Drosophila melanogaster: one gene and its partner. The gene in region 1 interacts genetically with each later gene. Each region holds a gene or a part of one and is shown on either strand. Other genes may lie near its edges. The genes, in order: RYBP and Fadd.

Region 1 (7,879 bases):
TTTGACTGTGCCAGCATAGCTGGAACGAAACAATTTGTAATTTATTTGCGAAGCGTGCGATGTGCTCCGGCTCTGTGCGAAAAGTTGAGGCAGCTGCCAAAGGCGTAGCCATCGACCAGAGACAGTGGCTCCAGCTCCGGCTCCAGCTCCAGCTCGAGCACCATCTCCTGTTCCCGTTTTCCGTGCATCTGAAACCGAAACTCTGGCAGAAGCGCTGCTCTGATCTGAGGCCCAAAAACTGGAGGCCGGGAGCACGCGTAAGCAGATACTCTGATACAGATACAGATGGTGCTCGGGCTGCGCCCCCCCCCCCCCCCCTTTCGGAACACACTCACACACAGAAGGGAGGATGGGGGAAAGGCGATGCGTGGGTGGTCCTGGGTCCTGGGGAAACGGTGGATGTACTGGCATCCAGCCGGGGTGGTTCTCGCTGCTGCCTTGCTCTTTAAAGACCTTTAAAGTTTAAGCCGAATGTCAGCCATAAAAAGAATCAAAAATAAAACTTGGCAACAAAAGTTTAGCAAGTTGGATAAGCCCAAATAAAAAATATTAAATTGAACTCATCTTAGGGCGGGAGAGAAGACAACGACTCCTTGGAATAGCATTTTCGAAATTTATTTAATGTATTTTATAATGCTTTAAAAGTTTACGCTTTACAATTGGAATTCAAGTTTTAACTATCCGTGTTGTCGTGTGAGTGCGGCTTTAATTGCGTTTGCTTAAGTTTTGTCTTTGTCTTTGTCGTTGCTGTTGATTAATGCTCAACTGGCCAAGCATTTGGAATACAAACTGTTCATATTAATTGTACATGTTTACGATAATCCAAATTGAAGTTTGTCTATTGGAAGTTGTTTCTTGACTACAGTCGGCAGTTTCGAGTGGGTGTGTGTTAGTGTTCATGTGTGGCTAAATAATCTATCTCAAAATACAAATATCAAGCACTTTATAAACCATTATATCTGTTATCCAATATTAAATACAATCGTTCATATCAAAATTCATGTTTTTCATTGTTTGCTAAGTAATTATTGCTATGGTGGAAGAGCGTTTAAGCTCTGCTAAGTACAAAATTCTCTTTTTGCGAGTTCGAGTATTCGTCTATTGTTTGCTGGCTGTGAGGCTATCTCGGGTGTAAACCAAAAGGAAAATCGGATTCGGGCTGGGTGCGTGTGCGGACCTCTCTATATCTGGTTGGTAACGCTTAATCAGTCTTGTATACAAACAAATTAAAATTAGCAAATTGTCTACAACCAAGCTACGTGGCTCTCTTCTCGCTACACTTCGTTGTCAAGCAGCATTTTCTAGTCAAAAAAAAAAGGGCAGTTTATAATAGTTACACAAACCATGGGGGATGGGCGCTGCTAGTGGAACATTGAGATTAACTTGCACTTAGTTAAACCATATTTTAATTCGACACTTACAAAACAAATGATATCTTTGTTGAACATGTACACGGCGGTTATACATAGTTACCTTTGCATCAATAAATTAGGAATTAGAGTAGCAGAATTAAATTACAACTAAAATTACGATACGAGACAGAGATATTCAGGGAACTCATGCATCGCTATTTACAGGGTCTAGCGCATTTTAAAATGGGATTTGGAGAGCGTCGTGTAAATGCAATCGACTCGCCGTCGCTTCGCTTTGCTTTGCCATCTTGGCCTGGGCTGGAAGTCATGAACTAGTGGGGGCTTGGCTTTCGGGGCTTTAAACGTGGCCTAATACTTGGTAACTTAAATGGATTTCGATTTACAATTGTTATCGCCAGGGGCCTAACACTTAGAATTTACAACTTGTAACAGGGGAGCGGGAACCGTGGCGTAGAATATTGGGGAGCTGGGGGCGAGGAGGCCTTGTATCCCTCCTCTAACTCCGGCTGTCGTTGCTCTCGCTGAAGCTCTGCTCACTGGATTCGCGTCGGCTGCTCACCGGCTTGGCCTTGTACTCTGTGATGAACACGGTCACCGAGTTGACCGTCACCTCTCGCGTCTGTGCCGTCGATCGGTCCACGTTTTTCAACCGTGCCGGATACCGCTTGTGCCTCTGCCGGTCGTGCCCACTGCCATGCCGTGATCCGGAGGCGGACTTCCCGTTGGGCATGTTGACACTGGCTCCTGGCAAAGTGGCGGCCTGCTGGGCGACTAGCGCTGAGTTCAGGCGTGGCTTTCGCGTGGAGGTTCCTAAAAAACAAGGGTGTATAGTCTTATTGAGCGCACCAAAAATAGTATATAAATAGTTTAAAATTGTTTCAATTAGCATGTTTATCGTTTCGAGAAGTATTCCCGGTTTCTGCGCAGTGTGAATTTATTTATTCTACGTAAGCAAATCGATACCATCGTTGGCCATCTAATCAACAGTCAACAGTCTTTTTTTGACTATTACTATCTACAGTTCAACCAGATATATTCCAATATTGTTAATACCGATGTGTGTGTATCCTTGTAGAAGGATAAACAAACCGATCCATGACACATGATCAAGAAAGCGAAAATCGGAACATGGCTGGCAATCTGCTCAATCTTGGAACTCGGAAGCGAAAACGAAGCAAAATCGGGGTCACTTACCTTTCCGCACGTCGCACATGCGACACTTGAAGGCCTCCGCCGAGTTTCTATATGTGCAGACGCTGCAGTCCCAGAAGTTCTCCTCGATCACCTTCGCCTGCCGCTTTTGTCGTCGCACCGGCGAGGATTTCTTGTCCATAATACAGGAGGAGAGGAGGAACGCCTGGGCGCCGCTGGAGTAACCGCAATCCAATCGAATCGGACCAAAACGAATCCAATGAAAATGCCCGACTTTTCCCTCTGCCACCGCCTCTGCCTCTGCCCGCCCCTCTGCTGATCCGCTGCTGCTGCTGGCCGTGTTCCTGTGATGTTTGGTTGCTCTGCTCGCACCTTTGCCACGCTCACGCACACACGGTGGCCTCAGTGGAGATTCGCTGCGCTTTTGGCACGCATTTGTTGCTTAATTGGAGCGTTTTCGGTGGCTTTTTGTTGTGAAAAAAACTTTCTGCAATTGTCTTTTTGGCTGCGGCAACATTGCCATATCGTAGAAGTGCTCAATGCCAGGCTATCGATATTTCGATAGTAGCGCGCAGCCAGTGTTGGCTAGCGTATGGTGCTGATCTGGCAACTCACTTTTCGATTGGGCGCCAAACTACGTTTATTTTGAAATGTGGCTTGTCATTGTTTTGTGTTTGCATTTTATTGTGAAGCTTACGCCCACGCTTTTATTTTTCTAGCCAGCCAAAGGCCAGCTGCTTCAGCAACAATGGGAAGGTAAGCGGTTTTGCTTATGTTTACTATAGTGGTGCTTATGGGTAAAGAAGAATTTGGGAAACTTATTAAATTGTTTTTAAGCTACCTCACATATGCTTAAATGACCAATGATGATTCTTTTTGACGCCTTGCGCTCTAGCCAATGGCCTATGTACATACAACCTTAATTTAGCCGCTGGCAAGCATCAGCTGCGTTGTGTTTACTTATAACTTGTATCTGTTCTGTCTGTCTAGCCCCCAGATCACGTTTTATCTTGGCAGTCTTATCATCGGTTCATCCCCTTTGGATTGTAGGCTCCCAGGAAGGTGTTACACTTGCGACAATAGTGGTTTCCAGTGCGGCAACTGTTCATGCAATAGGGAACAAAACAGGCACAGCAGCAGAATCTTTAAAGAGGATGAGACATGAAATATATAAATTTAAGATAAATCAATAAGCAGATAAACTCTACTCCTTTTTATAAGAAACTCAACTTACCCGACCAAACAGAGGAGACCTGCCACCATATGGGTCCTGGAGTTAGCCGTGTGTGTCATCCTCGTAGTTTTGTTGGCTCCACAGGCTGGGCAGAGAACCCTACTTCGATTTGGACCCAAGTGTAGAGTATCTGCAACAGCAGGGAGTGACGTCAGTAGAGCTTCACAGCCGAACTATAACTATGTGCAAACTACACACCTGTTGGAACCACTGTGGGTGGTTGTGGGGCTGGCTGCTCCACGACAACCACTGGCGGTGGTCGTGCTGGGGCGATTGCTGGTGCGGAAACCGCTGGAGCCACCGGAACAGACACCGCCACATCGTACGACGGAGGAGCCTCGATGGGCAGGCCGTTGGCGATGGGATTGCCCAACTCCCTCGTTGGCGTCGGCGAGGGGGCCGTCGGGGCGTTGAAATCCACTTGCGGATAAAGCATGGCTCGCTTCTGATCCATGGTTAACGCACTATAAAACCCTTGCTCTAGTGCGAAGTTCGGGTATGGTTTCGACTTATTAAAATGACTAAGAGATTCTGGTTCTCGCTAAGCGAAAAAAAAAAGTTGTTTACTTTGCGTATTTACAACTAGACGGCGTCTTTTGCACTTCGAACGCCGCTCGCAACTGCCAGCGAATTTGGATCCAGGTAGAGATTCAGTTTCAGTTTTTTTTCGGCTCAGATCGGAGCGAGCTTGGAAAAGCTCCCATCCGGTTGAGCAATCAGTTTTGGGGCTGTTGCAAAACCGAAAGTATCTCTCGAATACTGTTTACCGAGCTTTATCTAGTGCACACAATGATCTTCATTGTTTATCGAACTTATCTCAGGTACGGGAATAGGATGTCCGATAAAGATACAGATAGCCACTTCAGCATAGTCAGTAATTAGTTAGGCTTTTGGCAAATAAAGCTGATATATAGGATTCCAAGGGCGTAATAGTCAGCAGAGTATAATTTAACATTAAGCAAAAAAGCTTTCAGCAATTAAATCGAAAAAATTACTGAATAACTTAACCAAGAATGGCCTAATAATTGAAGTTAAAAAACCAGTTTACTTTGGTTTTTAAGAGCAAATTTAAAATTAAATATTTAGGTCATCAATAATATTATACTTATTTGAAAACTGGGTTAATTTCGCTAACACAAAATAGTAATTCTATGCCACTTTAAAGCTCTTAAAGCGTCACTTGTAATGACGAAATACTTCGCTTTAGTTCAGTTTGCGTGCTGCAGTCCATTTATTAACTAATTACTTGAAGAAAATATGTACACATGAACAGGTCGCCCCCGAAACATTTTTGGTTGCTCATTTGCGATCGTAGGTGCCCAAATAACGATCGCACATGCCACAGTAGTGATTGGTGTTCATGCAACTGGAAATGCAGTACGGCAGACACACACAGCAGTACAACCTGTAGGGAAGTAAAAGAAAAGGAAGTGAGTCACCGACAAGTGGATTATACACCTAATAGCCAAGGTCTATTCTGTGCGATTATTGCTGGCTAAGACTATCATTTGATGTAATATATAGCCTTTGTTTCTGATGCTAAGCTACTAAAAATATATCATAGATATGAAATGAAATCAAAAATACATATATAAATACAAAAGAGTGCTCTCTGGTAAGGAATGAAATTTATCTATTCTATGCTATTCTCATTCCGAATAAATTGAGCTTTTTCTGTTTCGAGTGCCCAAAGTGGGCTACTGGCCCACACACAGTGTTATCTATTTCGGGTACTCACTGGAACAGGCATAATATCAAGGCTATCAGATGGGTGCGCGAGTTGGGCTTGAAGGAGACCCGTGTCCGGGCGTAATTGTGGCAGTACGGGCACTGCACGTCCATGGGCTCCGGGCCGTACGGTGAACCGGGCACCACGACGACCGTGTGCTGTGTGGTGGATGTGCTCGCTGGAACTGGAGCTGGTCCCGTGGTTTCAGCCGGAGTGGTTGTGGCCTGGTCGTAACTGGGTGGAGCCGGTGGCAGAAGGTGTTGTTGCTCGGGTGTCGCCTGCAGCTCGACGGATCCCTTGGGCGCCTCCAAGGGTGCAGCTGGATAGACGGAATCCATGATATTTTGGCCCAACTGGGTGTGTGAATCGCTGGAAAATGACTCAAGGGAGCGCCGTTGGAAAAAAAAATGTGTCTCGCGTATCGCGTATTCTTATCAAGTAAAGCCAAAAGCTTGGCGGCCCGATTGTTTACCCCATTGGGGAAATTTCATCGTACAGCTGTCGGTCTGTGGACACCTGACCAAAAATGTTCGCATTCGTGGATGATTTTGTGTGTGGGTGTGTTGAGGTTGTGAGCGTTGATCGGTTCGATTTGGTTGGGTTCGTTTGGTTTTGTTTACTCCGTATTACTAATCGCTGTTGTAGACGCCGACGAACTTATTGCAATTGCCGCAAAAGTGATTGGCGTTCATGCAGCTGGTGGCGCAGTAAGGCAGGCAGGCACAACACCAGAGGCTGTTTGTGATTTTCCACCAGAGATTAGATAAGATGGTAGCACGGGGCTGGTGAGAATCTGCAAATCTTACCCAACGATGCATAGAATGGCGGCCATGCAGTGAGTTTTCACACTGGGCGAGTACTCCACGCGGGTCAGTTTCTGGACATGGCAATGCGGGCAGGTGATGAAGGTGGGATCCGGACCCACCGGCAATACAGCTTGATCTGCAAGTCATTGTCAATGTTAATCTTATGTCTGTCACATTGAGAAAAAAACCCACGTTGTATGATCACCACGGGCGGAGGTGCTGTCGTGTGGTGAACCACCCGAACTGGCGCCTGCACGTGCACCACCTGCTCATAGCTCGGTGGGGGCATCTGGTGGGGATAGCCCGGCGCTCCCGCCGGCTGCTGATTGTACTGCATCTTCGTTTGGTTGGTAGTCACGAACTGAAACCGAGTCTTGCGTTTCACTACTCTTGCGACTGCTGTTGCGCAACATTGTTGCTGGCAAAAGCTCTTTGTCGTAGCTTTGTATCTTGTTTGCATTGCTTTTGAGCGCCAACCAAGTCAAGCAACTTAATTTGTTGAAAGCGAGAGTAAATTCGATTGTCAATTGAAATCATGTTCAAGGAAGGAGGAAAGCGCAGTATTAAGTACTGGACTTTTAAATCTTGTTTCCTTCAATCGCCCAAGATTTTATTATAATTAACTAATGATAATCCAGGTTAAAACTAGATGAGCTAATACAATTACATATCTAAATAAATATGCAATTGACAATTTTGTCGTGTGCTGTGCAATAATGTCAATACAGATAAGAATGATTAGCTGAGTCAAGAGCAGTTATTGTACTTTACTTATTTATTTTATTAATAATATTCTACATATGTGCATACATTTAATCAAATTATTGAAGTCTTTAGAATTTGCATTACTCATCCAAATTATCACTAACATTTTTATTTATCGGTTGTCCGCAGCAACAAAAGGATCTAAAATAAGACAAACTTGAAACTGTATTTCATCTGGACGAAGGCAATCTTAGCTCAAGAATAACATACAGCGTATTAAACCACAATCTTTGGCTCCACGACAACTTGAAGTCCTCGGAATTAAGACATACTTGGGACGTATCTTTTGCTCCAGAATTCGGAATTGTAGCCTTCGGTTCGGATAAACTTTTGTAAACCTCCGCGGACCGTCCTTTGAATGCTGGTGTGCTTTTGCGTGGCATCTTTTCAGAACTAAGTTCATTTAATCTTCTATTTATTAAGCCTCAAAACTGTACTCCCGAATTCTAGGAACAAGTCCAAGCTGAACTGATAAGGCCCCACTGTTATCAACAAGCTTTTCTCAAGAGTATTTCTAGTATATCGAACAATTCAAGATGCCGGAAATAAAATCCCCTAGGCCTTACTTTTATCTTAAATTCTTTTTACAAGCCGAGCTCCAGACATCTGGAAAAATAAATACGTATTTTATTGCTTAAAACATATTACACTTAAAGTTCATGTATAGGCTTGCTGCTTTGGAATTTTTCAAAGTGCATTTCCAAAGCTCAAAAGCTCGTGTATATATATTTCATCTGCACTCTGTGGTAAACAGAAATGCAACAGCATTCCTATTTTATTTCAGATTGAGATTCGTATGCCATCTTAGGGGGATCGGTTA
Region 2 (7,801 bases), on another chromosome or scaffold:
CTCTTGTCGTACCGCTCGTCTGAATGATTGTCATACATATATGTAAATGTAAGAAAAGTAAAATAGTCGCAATCACAAGACCCACCATCATTGTTGTCCGTCACCAGCTTGGCTATCAGCCACATTTGCTGCGAATATGTGGTGGTCAGCGGCGACTTCATGGCGAAGGGTCCCTTCCCCAGGACCGTTGGGCTATGCGCCAGCGAGGTGTTCGCCAGAATCTGCTGGGCGGTCAGCGATGATGTGCTGGTTATGGGCGGTCCCGTCAGCCCGATGACTATGCCCAGACCGAAGCAGGTGAAGAATCCCAGGAAGACCATGACAAACTCGCGCTTGTGCATCGAGTAGAGTCGCATATGGACGGATCGCTCGCAGCGATCGTGATGATAGGCGGGCGAGATGTACCTGCTGAAGTCGCTGAACAAATCGCTGAACTGTGAGAGGGAAGATTTGAGGCGCAGCAGGAGGCCGCCGGACGGCAGCTGGTAGGCGTAGCCCAGGCCAGAGGCATCCGCATCCGAGTGGGGCTTGGCCATGGCCGCTGGCAGGAATTACGGGTGTCTAGCTGATGCTCGGTGTCCACCTAGCCGTCGCCTTTTACTGCATCTCCTCTACGCCGTAGAACTCTTTTTTTTTCGCGTTTTTTTTACAGATTATTGACAAGTCTTCCACAATCCGTCCGACGTTTGTGCGACTTTCGTGGAAAATATCGATTTTGGCCAGCACTACTCGCATATGTTTTGACTTGCCAGTGGGGGTGGCTGGGCCATTGGGTGGTGGGCCGACCATCCGTCGAGTTGTTTGCCATTTCACATGCACTGCGCATGCGTACTCTTATCACAACTGAAGGTAAATAAAAGCCAATCTCGCAAAGGGGGGAGGGAATATCAAGCAACCGGATGGATAAATAACTTAGGAATTGGGCTTGATACACATGAATTAAATGAGCTCAATTGGAACATAATGGGTAAGCAATATAATCAATCAATTTACACATCAGTTTGGCTTACATCTATCTATGTTATTTTGTGCGGACCATTAGTCCCAGTATTTTATCTGGCCATCCCAGCCAGCGGTGACCACTTTGCTGGCCTCATGCGGATGCCAGAGGGCACTGATGCAGACGCCGTCGTGCGCCTGCCACTTCTTGTACATCTTCGTCGTCTTCCAGTCCCAAATATAACATTTGCCATCGCCATCGCCCGACACCAGATAGCTCATGTCCGGCGAAAAGTCCAGCTGGCAGGCGTAGCCAGAGACCATGTGACCGGTGAAGGTCTTTTTGCGGTTCATCTTGAAGCGATTGAGGGCGGAGAAGATGACGATCTTGTTGTCTAACGACTGGCAGGCCATCCATTTGCCATTGGGCGCCAATGTGACCGCCGGCATGGAATGCATAGTGGGGTCGGCAATGTACTTCATGTCCACAGGAATGTCCCACTCCCATATGCGCATCGATTTGTCGTCCGAGGTGGTCACAAACCGTCGGTTGTCGTCCACAAAGGTGATGGTGCTCACAGATCCCAAGTGCCGGTCGTATTCCTGTACAATATCACCGCTGCGAGTGTCCCACTGCGAATTGATAGGAAAACAATTGTAACATGAGCATCTACTTTTGTAAATTTTACTTACACAAATGATCTTCTTGTCGGAGGTGCCGGCAACGAACAAATGTTGCTTGCTATTATCCGGATGGAATTTCACACAGAAAGGCATTTTACGCGTTGTGAATCGGGACACTACATCGCCCGTTTCGGCATCCCACAACTTTATGTAGCGATCATACGAGGCAGACAGGAAGTTGGTACCCCTGTTGTTCCACGCAATATCCTTGATGGCCTGCCGGTGACCGGAGAAGGTGCGTATGCAGCGTCGCTCGCCGTAAACCTCCCACAGTTTGACGCGACAGTCCATCGATCCGGAGAGCAGAAGATGAGCGGTCTTGGGGAACCAGCGGATGGAGGAGATGCCCTTGTTGTGGCCCGACCAGGTGTGTATGTGCGCCTTGGGCAGAAAGCATTTGGTCGGTGGTGCATTCGATCGTAGATTCACGCCCAGATCATGAGGAGCATGCAAATAAGAGCGGCCCTGATAGTCGTACGCATCCTTGACTGTGGAGCAAAAAAGGAAAAGATTATTAACGATATATATTCGGTGGCTATTGGATTAAACTCACTGTGCAGCGTCGACTTCTCCTCGAGCGGCTTATCCTCGGGAATGCGTCCGCGCTTATGTCGCTTAGACAGCAGCTCGTCCAGTTCGGCGCGCTCCTGTTCATTTGGCTTTGCCACCGACACCTCGTTTTCGAACTTGCCCCAGGGACCCAGAAAGCCCTCAATGTCCTCGGGATTATCATTTTTCTCCTGCTTGCGCAGTTTCTTTGCCTTGGGCGGCTCAAATACCGTCTTGCCATTGTCATCGTACGCAGACTGCAGGTCACCCACAAAAGACTGGCCGTCCGCCTGATCGTCTACGCTGGGGTCCAATGCGTAGCCGTAGGTGTGAAAGGTGCGTCGCTGGTTCTCAAATTCGAAGGCATTGATGTGGGCCTTCTCTACGTAGCCGGCTAGGGTGTTCCGCGGAGCGCGCTGCTGCATGGTGAGGTCCGGATGCTCCGGACCTTTTACCGGAGCATACATCTCCTCATAGCGCGGATTGTAGGTTACCTCCTTGAGCGTGGGATCCAGAGTTCGGGGCACGGCCGATGCTCCAAGGGGAACCACCGTTGGCGCCGCACAAACAGCAATGGACTTGGATAGCGAGTGTGTCTTGTCCACGGGCAGCAGGTGATCCGGAATGGGAGCGGAGGGCTCTGAATTCGTGGTGGCTGTGGCGGCGTCCGCATGGTCCGATTCTTCATCCGAGGAACTGGCGTATGACTGAAGGCCCAACATTTAGAGGCTGCGGACGAACTCTGTGTACTTGTTAACGAAATGCTGAAGGTAAATCAAGACCAGAGTGTAGAGGAGGAATACGAAAACGTTAATGGATATTTCCATTCGTCTACACGTTTGCGTTTATCATTAGTTGCTTCAGTAAAAGTAACAAAAACATAAATATATATCTATCAAAACTAGGGATGGTGCGTGCCATCTGTTATCGATGTTATCGAATGGCTATGTAACGGTCTCACTAATAGATCCCAAACATGCAAGGTGGTGCAAGTTTAAAGCTTATTTTAAATTTTTTAAGTTGTATGGAAATAGTATTTGATATTTTTTTGCTCATTTTGCTCAAACACCTATTCAGTGCTGATCGATAACAGGTAAGGAAATGTTTGGCCATACGGTCATACTACATCAGGGAGTGAAGTTGCGTTGATACATTTTGGGAACTTAAGACCGCTGAAAATACCGTCTCTGTAAATTAGTCACAATGACTGCAGGCAGGCACTGGAGCTACGACAGCCTCAAACAAATCGCCATTGATGGATGCACCGAGAACGTGGAGCAGTTGAAACTAATTTTTGTCGAAGAGATTGGTTCGCGACGCAGATCGGATTGCATACGAACCATCGAGGATTTAATTGACTGCCTGGAACGAGCGGACGAACTATCGGAGTACAATGTGGAGCCACTGCGCCGGATATCAGGCAATATGCCACAGCTCATCGAGGCTCTGAGCGCCTACACAAAGCCGGAAAACATTCTTGGACATCCGGTTAATCTGTACCAGGAACTCCGATTGGCCGAGGAACTTCGTCAGCAGCTCCGTATTGCTCCAGCTTCCCAGAATGCTCAGCCATCAGTTTCGGAATTAGCTGCCGCTGTGCCTCCAACAGCAATCCAAAACTATGCCACCCCAGCTGCTTTTACGGATCACAAACGAACGATGGTCTTTAAGAAAATATCCGAGGAACTGGGTCGCTATTGGCGACGACTGGGCCGATCGGCGGGCATTGGCGAGGGCCAAATGGACACAATCGAGGAGCGCTACCCGCACGACTTGAAGTCCCAGATTCTGCGACTGCTGCAGCTCATCGAAGAGGATGATTGCCACGATCCCAAGCACTTTCTGCTTCGTCTGTGTCGCGCCCTGGGCGATTGTGGTCGCAATGATCTGCGCAAGAGGGTGGAGCAGATAATGTCGCACTAGAACGCATTCACTTATATGCACTTTATATGCATTTTGTTACGATACTAGTAATTAATGTGCTGGAGAGCGACAAAGATGTGCCTTTATTGTAATTATTCACATGTTATTCCAAGGTTGGACAGAGCATAAAAATCGCACACTAAATTAATATGTGTCAACGCGGAATTGTACGATCTTATAAGAAAATGTGATTGACGTATTCCATTCAAAATGGGAATTCACATTTCCTTATCATAAGATAGTCTACAAAAAATATTGTTAACTCGTAATACACAAGTCACATAGTTGAAGATAGCAATGTACAATGGATATAAAATACGTTTTGCAAACGCTTTTGCTTCTCTTATCCTCAAAAGACGGTTGAAAATTTGTTTACAAATAGGGTCACACCTTTTGCATTGAACTATCGAATTGGCAATTATCGATAGGCACAGCTGGCTGAATATCGTTTGCTTCGGGGTGAATGGTTAGCAACACGTGCGCGCAATATTTTATTTGAGAATTCTGTTTTTAACCATTAAACTCTATTAAAAAGCATACATAGTTAGCAATATGTCTATTCGGGAGAAGCTGCTGATGAAGAAGATCGTTAAGCGGGAGAAGATGAAGAAGGAGCTCTCGCAGAAGAAGGGAAACAAGAACGCCCAAAAGCAGGAGCCACCCAAACAAAATGGCAATAAACCCAGTAAAAAACCGGAGAAACTCAGTAAAAAGCATGTGGCCAAGGATGAGGGTACGATTAAAAACGTGTGTGCCTAATAAATATATGTAAGATTCACTTTTCGACCCGCAGATGACGACTTAGAGGAGGATTTCCAGGAGGCGCCGCTGCCCAAGAAGAAGCAACAAAAACAGCCTCCAAAAAAGCAACAAATTCAGGTGGCCAACTCGGATTCGGAATCAGATGACGATGAGCAGGAGGATGAGGCAGATGAGGATAGCGATTTGGACGAAGTAGCCGAAGTTGATGAGGAGGATGTTGACAGCGGGAGTGAAGATGATGACCAGCAGGAAGGTAAGTAAAAGTGTCGATATTTAGGGAATTCGTTCTAACTACCAATAATAATGATGATTTTTAAAGGCGAATTTGAGCAGCTCTGGTGCAGCGAGTTAATGTTGCCCAGGGCAGGCATGAAATCCATTTAAAAACCAACTGAATTATATAAAATACTAAAAAACTGTATCCCTGTGAAAACCAAAATTAACCAAGAGTACCTGTTTCAGATGAAGATGAAGAAGAACCTGTGCCAGCCAAGAAAACGAAGTTGCTTCCCAACAAGTCCAAGGCACAGAATGGCAAACCAGCTAAAGACGACGAGCCCTTTACCGTGGAATCCTCACTGGCTGCACTGGATTACCGAGATTCGGATGATCGCAGCTTTGCCTCTTTAAAGGGCGCCGTGTCCGAGGCCACATTGCGAGCCATTAAGGAGATGGGTTTTACCGAGATGACTGAAATTCAGTCGAAATCGCTGACACCCCTACTAAAGGGACGGGATCTGGTGGGTGCTGCCCAGACGGGTTCCGGCAAAACCCTGGCCTTCCTGATACCCGCCGTCGAGCTGATAAACAAGCTGAGGTTTATGCCACGCAATGGTACCGGCGTGATCATCATCTCACCTACCCGAGAGTTGTCCATGCAAACTTTCGGTGTGCTCAAAGAGCTGATGGCACACCACCATCACACTTATGGCTTGGTAATGGGCGGCTCCAATCGGCAGGTGGAGAGCGAGAAGTTGGGCAAGGGCATCAACATTCTGGTGGCCACACCGGGTCGTCTGCTGGATCATTTACAAAACTCGCCCGACTTTCTGTACAAGAACCTTCAGTGCCTGATTATCGATGAAGTGGATCGAATTCTGGAGATCGGTTTTGAGGAGGAGCTTAAGCAAATAATAAATCTGCTGCCAAGTGAGTTACGGGTAACTAAAGGTTTTTAGTGTATTTTTAAACTAACCTAATCTTTTAGAACGCCGCCAGACGATGCTCTTCTCGGCCACACAGACGGCTCGCATCGAAGCGCTTTCCAAGCTGGCCCTTAAGTCGGAACCAATTTATGTAGGGGTTCACGACAACCAGGACACGGCGACCGTAGATGGACTCGAGCAGGGGTACATTGTTTGCCCCTCGGAGAAGCGACTGCTCGTGCTCTTCACGTTCCTCAAAAAGAATCGTAAGAAGAAGGTGATGGTGTTCTTCTCGTCCTGCATGTCCGTCAAATACCACCACGAGCTCTTCAACTACATTGATCTGCCAGTGACCTCCATCCACGGTAAACAAAAGCAAACGAAACGAACGACCACCTTCTTCCAGTTCTGCAACGCGGAATCTGGGATTCTCTTATGTACGGATGTGGCTGCTCGTGGATTGGACATTCCGCAAGTCGATTGGATTGTGCAGTACGATCCTCCAGATGATCCACGCGAGTATATTCACAGGGTGGGCCGAACGGCCAGAGGATCGGGCACCTCGGGTCACGCCCTCCTTCTGATGCGACCGGAGGAGCTGGGCTTCCTGCGCTACCTTAAGGCCGCCAAGGTGCCGCTCAATGAGTTCGAGTTCTCCTGGCAGAAGATAGCTGATATTCAACTGCAGGTGGGTGCTCTTTCTTTGAGTTAAAATTGTTAGCTATGGTTTAAGGTGATTTAATTCGTATGTTTCTTATCCACTGCAGCTGGAGAAACTGATCGCCAAGAACTATTTCCTAAACCAGTCGGCCAAGGAAGCCTTTAAGTCGTATGTGCGCGCATACGATTCGCATCAATTGAAGCAGATCTTCAATGTGAACACGTTGGACCTGCAGGCGGTTGCGAAAAGCTTTGGATTCCTTGTGCCACCCGTAGTTGACCTGAAGGTGGGCGCGGCCAAGCGGGAGCGACCGGAAAAGCGAGTGGGCGGCGGCGGTTTCGGATTCTACAAGAAAATGAACGAGGGATCGGCTTCCAAGCAGCGGCACTTCAAGCAGGTCAACCGCGACCAGGCCAAGAAGTTTATGCGTTAGTTTTTTAGATTTAAGCAGAGATATACCATTGCATATTGTAAATCAGCTGCTTTACTTGAGTGTGTGTATACATATAGGCAAAAGATATAAAACTAAATGTTTCCAATTCACGAATGCACGTAACCATTTGGCCAGGTCATCATCATCATAATCATTAACAACTGGCATCCCACTCGATCTCTCGATGCGGATGTGACTTCTCCTTATTTGCCGCTTGTTGTTTCAAATGTTTATTGTTGTCGCCGTCGAGTCGAGCTGAGTCGCCTCCCCAAATTTGGCCGATTGCGTTTTTTTATTTCGTCTGTCGCTCGCGAAAATGTGCCACTTTCAGGCCCACGCTCGCCCAGTCCAAGTCCCTCCAAAACGGAGGCGACGCTCTTGTTGGGCCAACTAATCGATGATCGGGCGCTTAATCAATTGCTGGCTTGCGGGCGCCCACTGCAGACTGCATTGGCCAATTGAAACAGCATTGGGCAGCGATCAATTTTCCAATAAAACTCGTTTAGGCCGCCTTTTTGAAGAGATTCCATCACCCACAATACGAAAATATAATTGCGGGCCACCTTGGCTTGAATATAAATTAAACTTTAATCTACAGCAATGTCTCAATATCTAAAATTCGTAGTAGTAGGGTTTGAAGGTAAAAACTAACTTAACTTAACTTAACTTAACTTAAGGTATTTCAGTTTTTAAATTAGTCAAAAT

What was found.
Region 2: of RYBP (region 1) and Fadd, changing one suppresses a phenotype caused by changing the other (phenotypic suppression), as found in Drosophila melanogaster (one study listed by BioGRID).

What each region holds. Positions count from the first base shown.
Region 1 is NT_033778.4:22,665,934-22,673,812, reverse strand, and holds RYBP (ring and YY1 binding protein), read right to left. Parts: upstream 3,227-7,879; 5' UTR 2,707-3,226; coding exon 2,568-2,706; intron 2,184-2,567; coding exon 1,870-2,183; 3' UTR 601-1,869; downstream 1-600. Other genes in the region: CG13516 (uncharacterized protein), read right to left, coding at 3,548-3,668, 3,760-3,889, 3,958-4,213; CG30269 (uncharacterized protein), read right to left, coding at 5,059-5,164, 5,498-5,826; CG30273 (uncharacterized protein), read right to left, coding at 6,118-6,223, 6,295-6,430, 6,487-6,631; CG42867 (uncharacterized protein), read right to left, coding at 7,864-7,879.
Region 2 is NT_033777.3:22,031,188-22,038,988, forward strand, and holds Fadd (Fas-associated death domain), read left to right. Parts: upstream 1-3,267; 5' UTR 3,268-3,375; coding exon 3,376-4,095; 3' UTR 4,096-4,430; downstream 4,431-7,801. Other genes in the region: CG13409 (uncharacterized protein), read right to left, coding at 1-19, 86-536; CG6015 (uncharacterized protein), read right to left, coding at 1,039-1,572, 1,633-2,111, 2,177-2,894; CG45099 (uncharacterized protein), read right to left, coding at 2,895-2,999; pit (pitchoune), read left to right, coding at 4,648-4,828, 4,889-5,110, 5,320-6,006, 6,065-6,690, 6,770-7,096.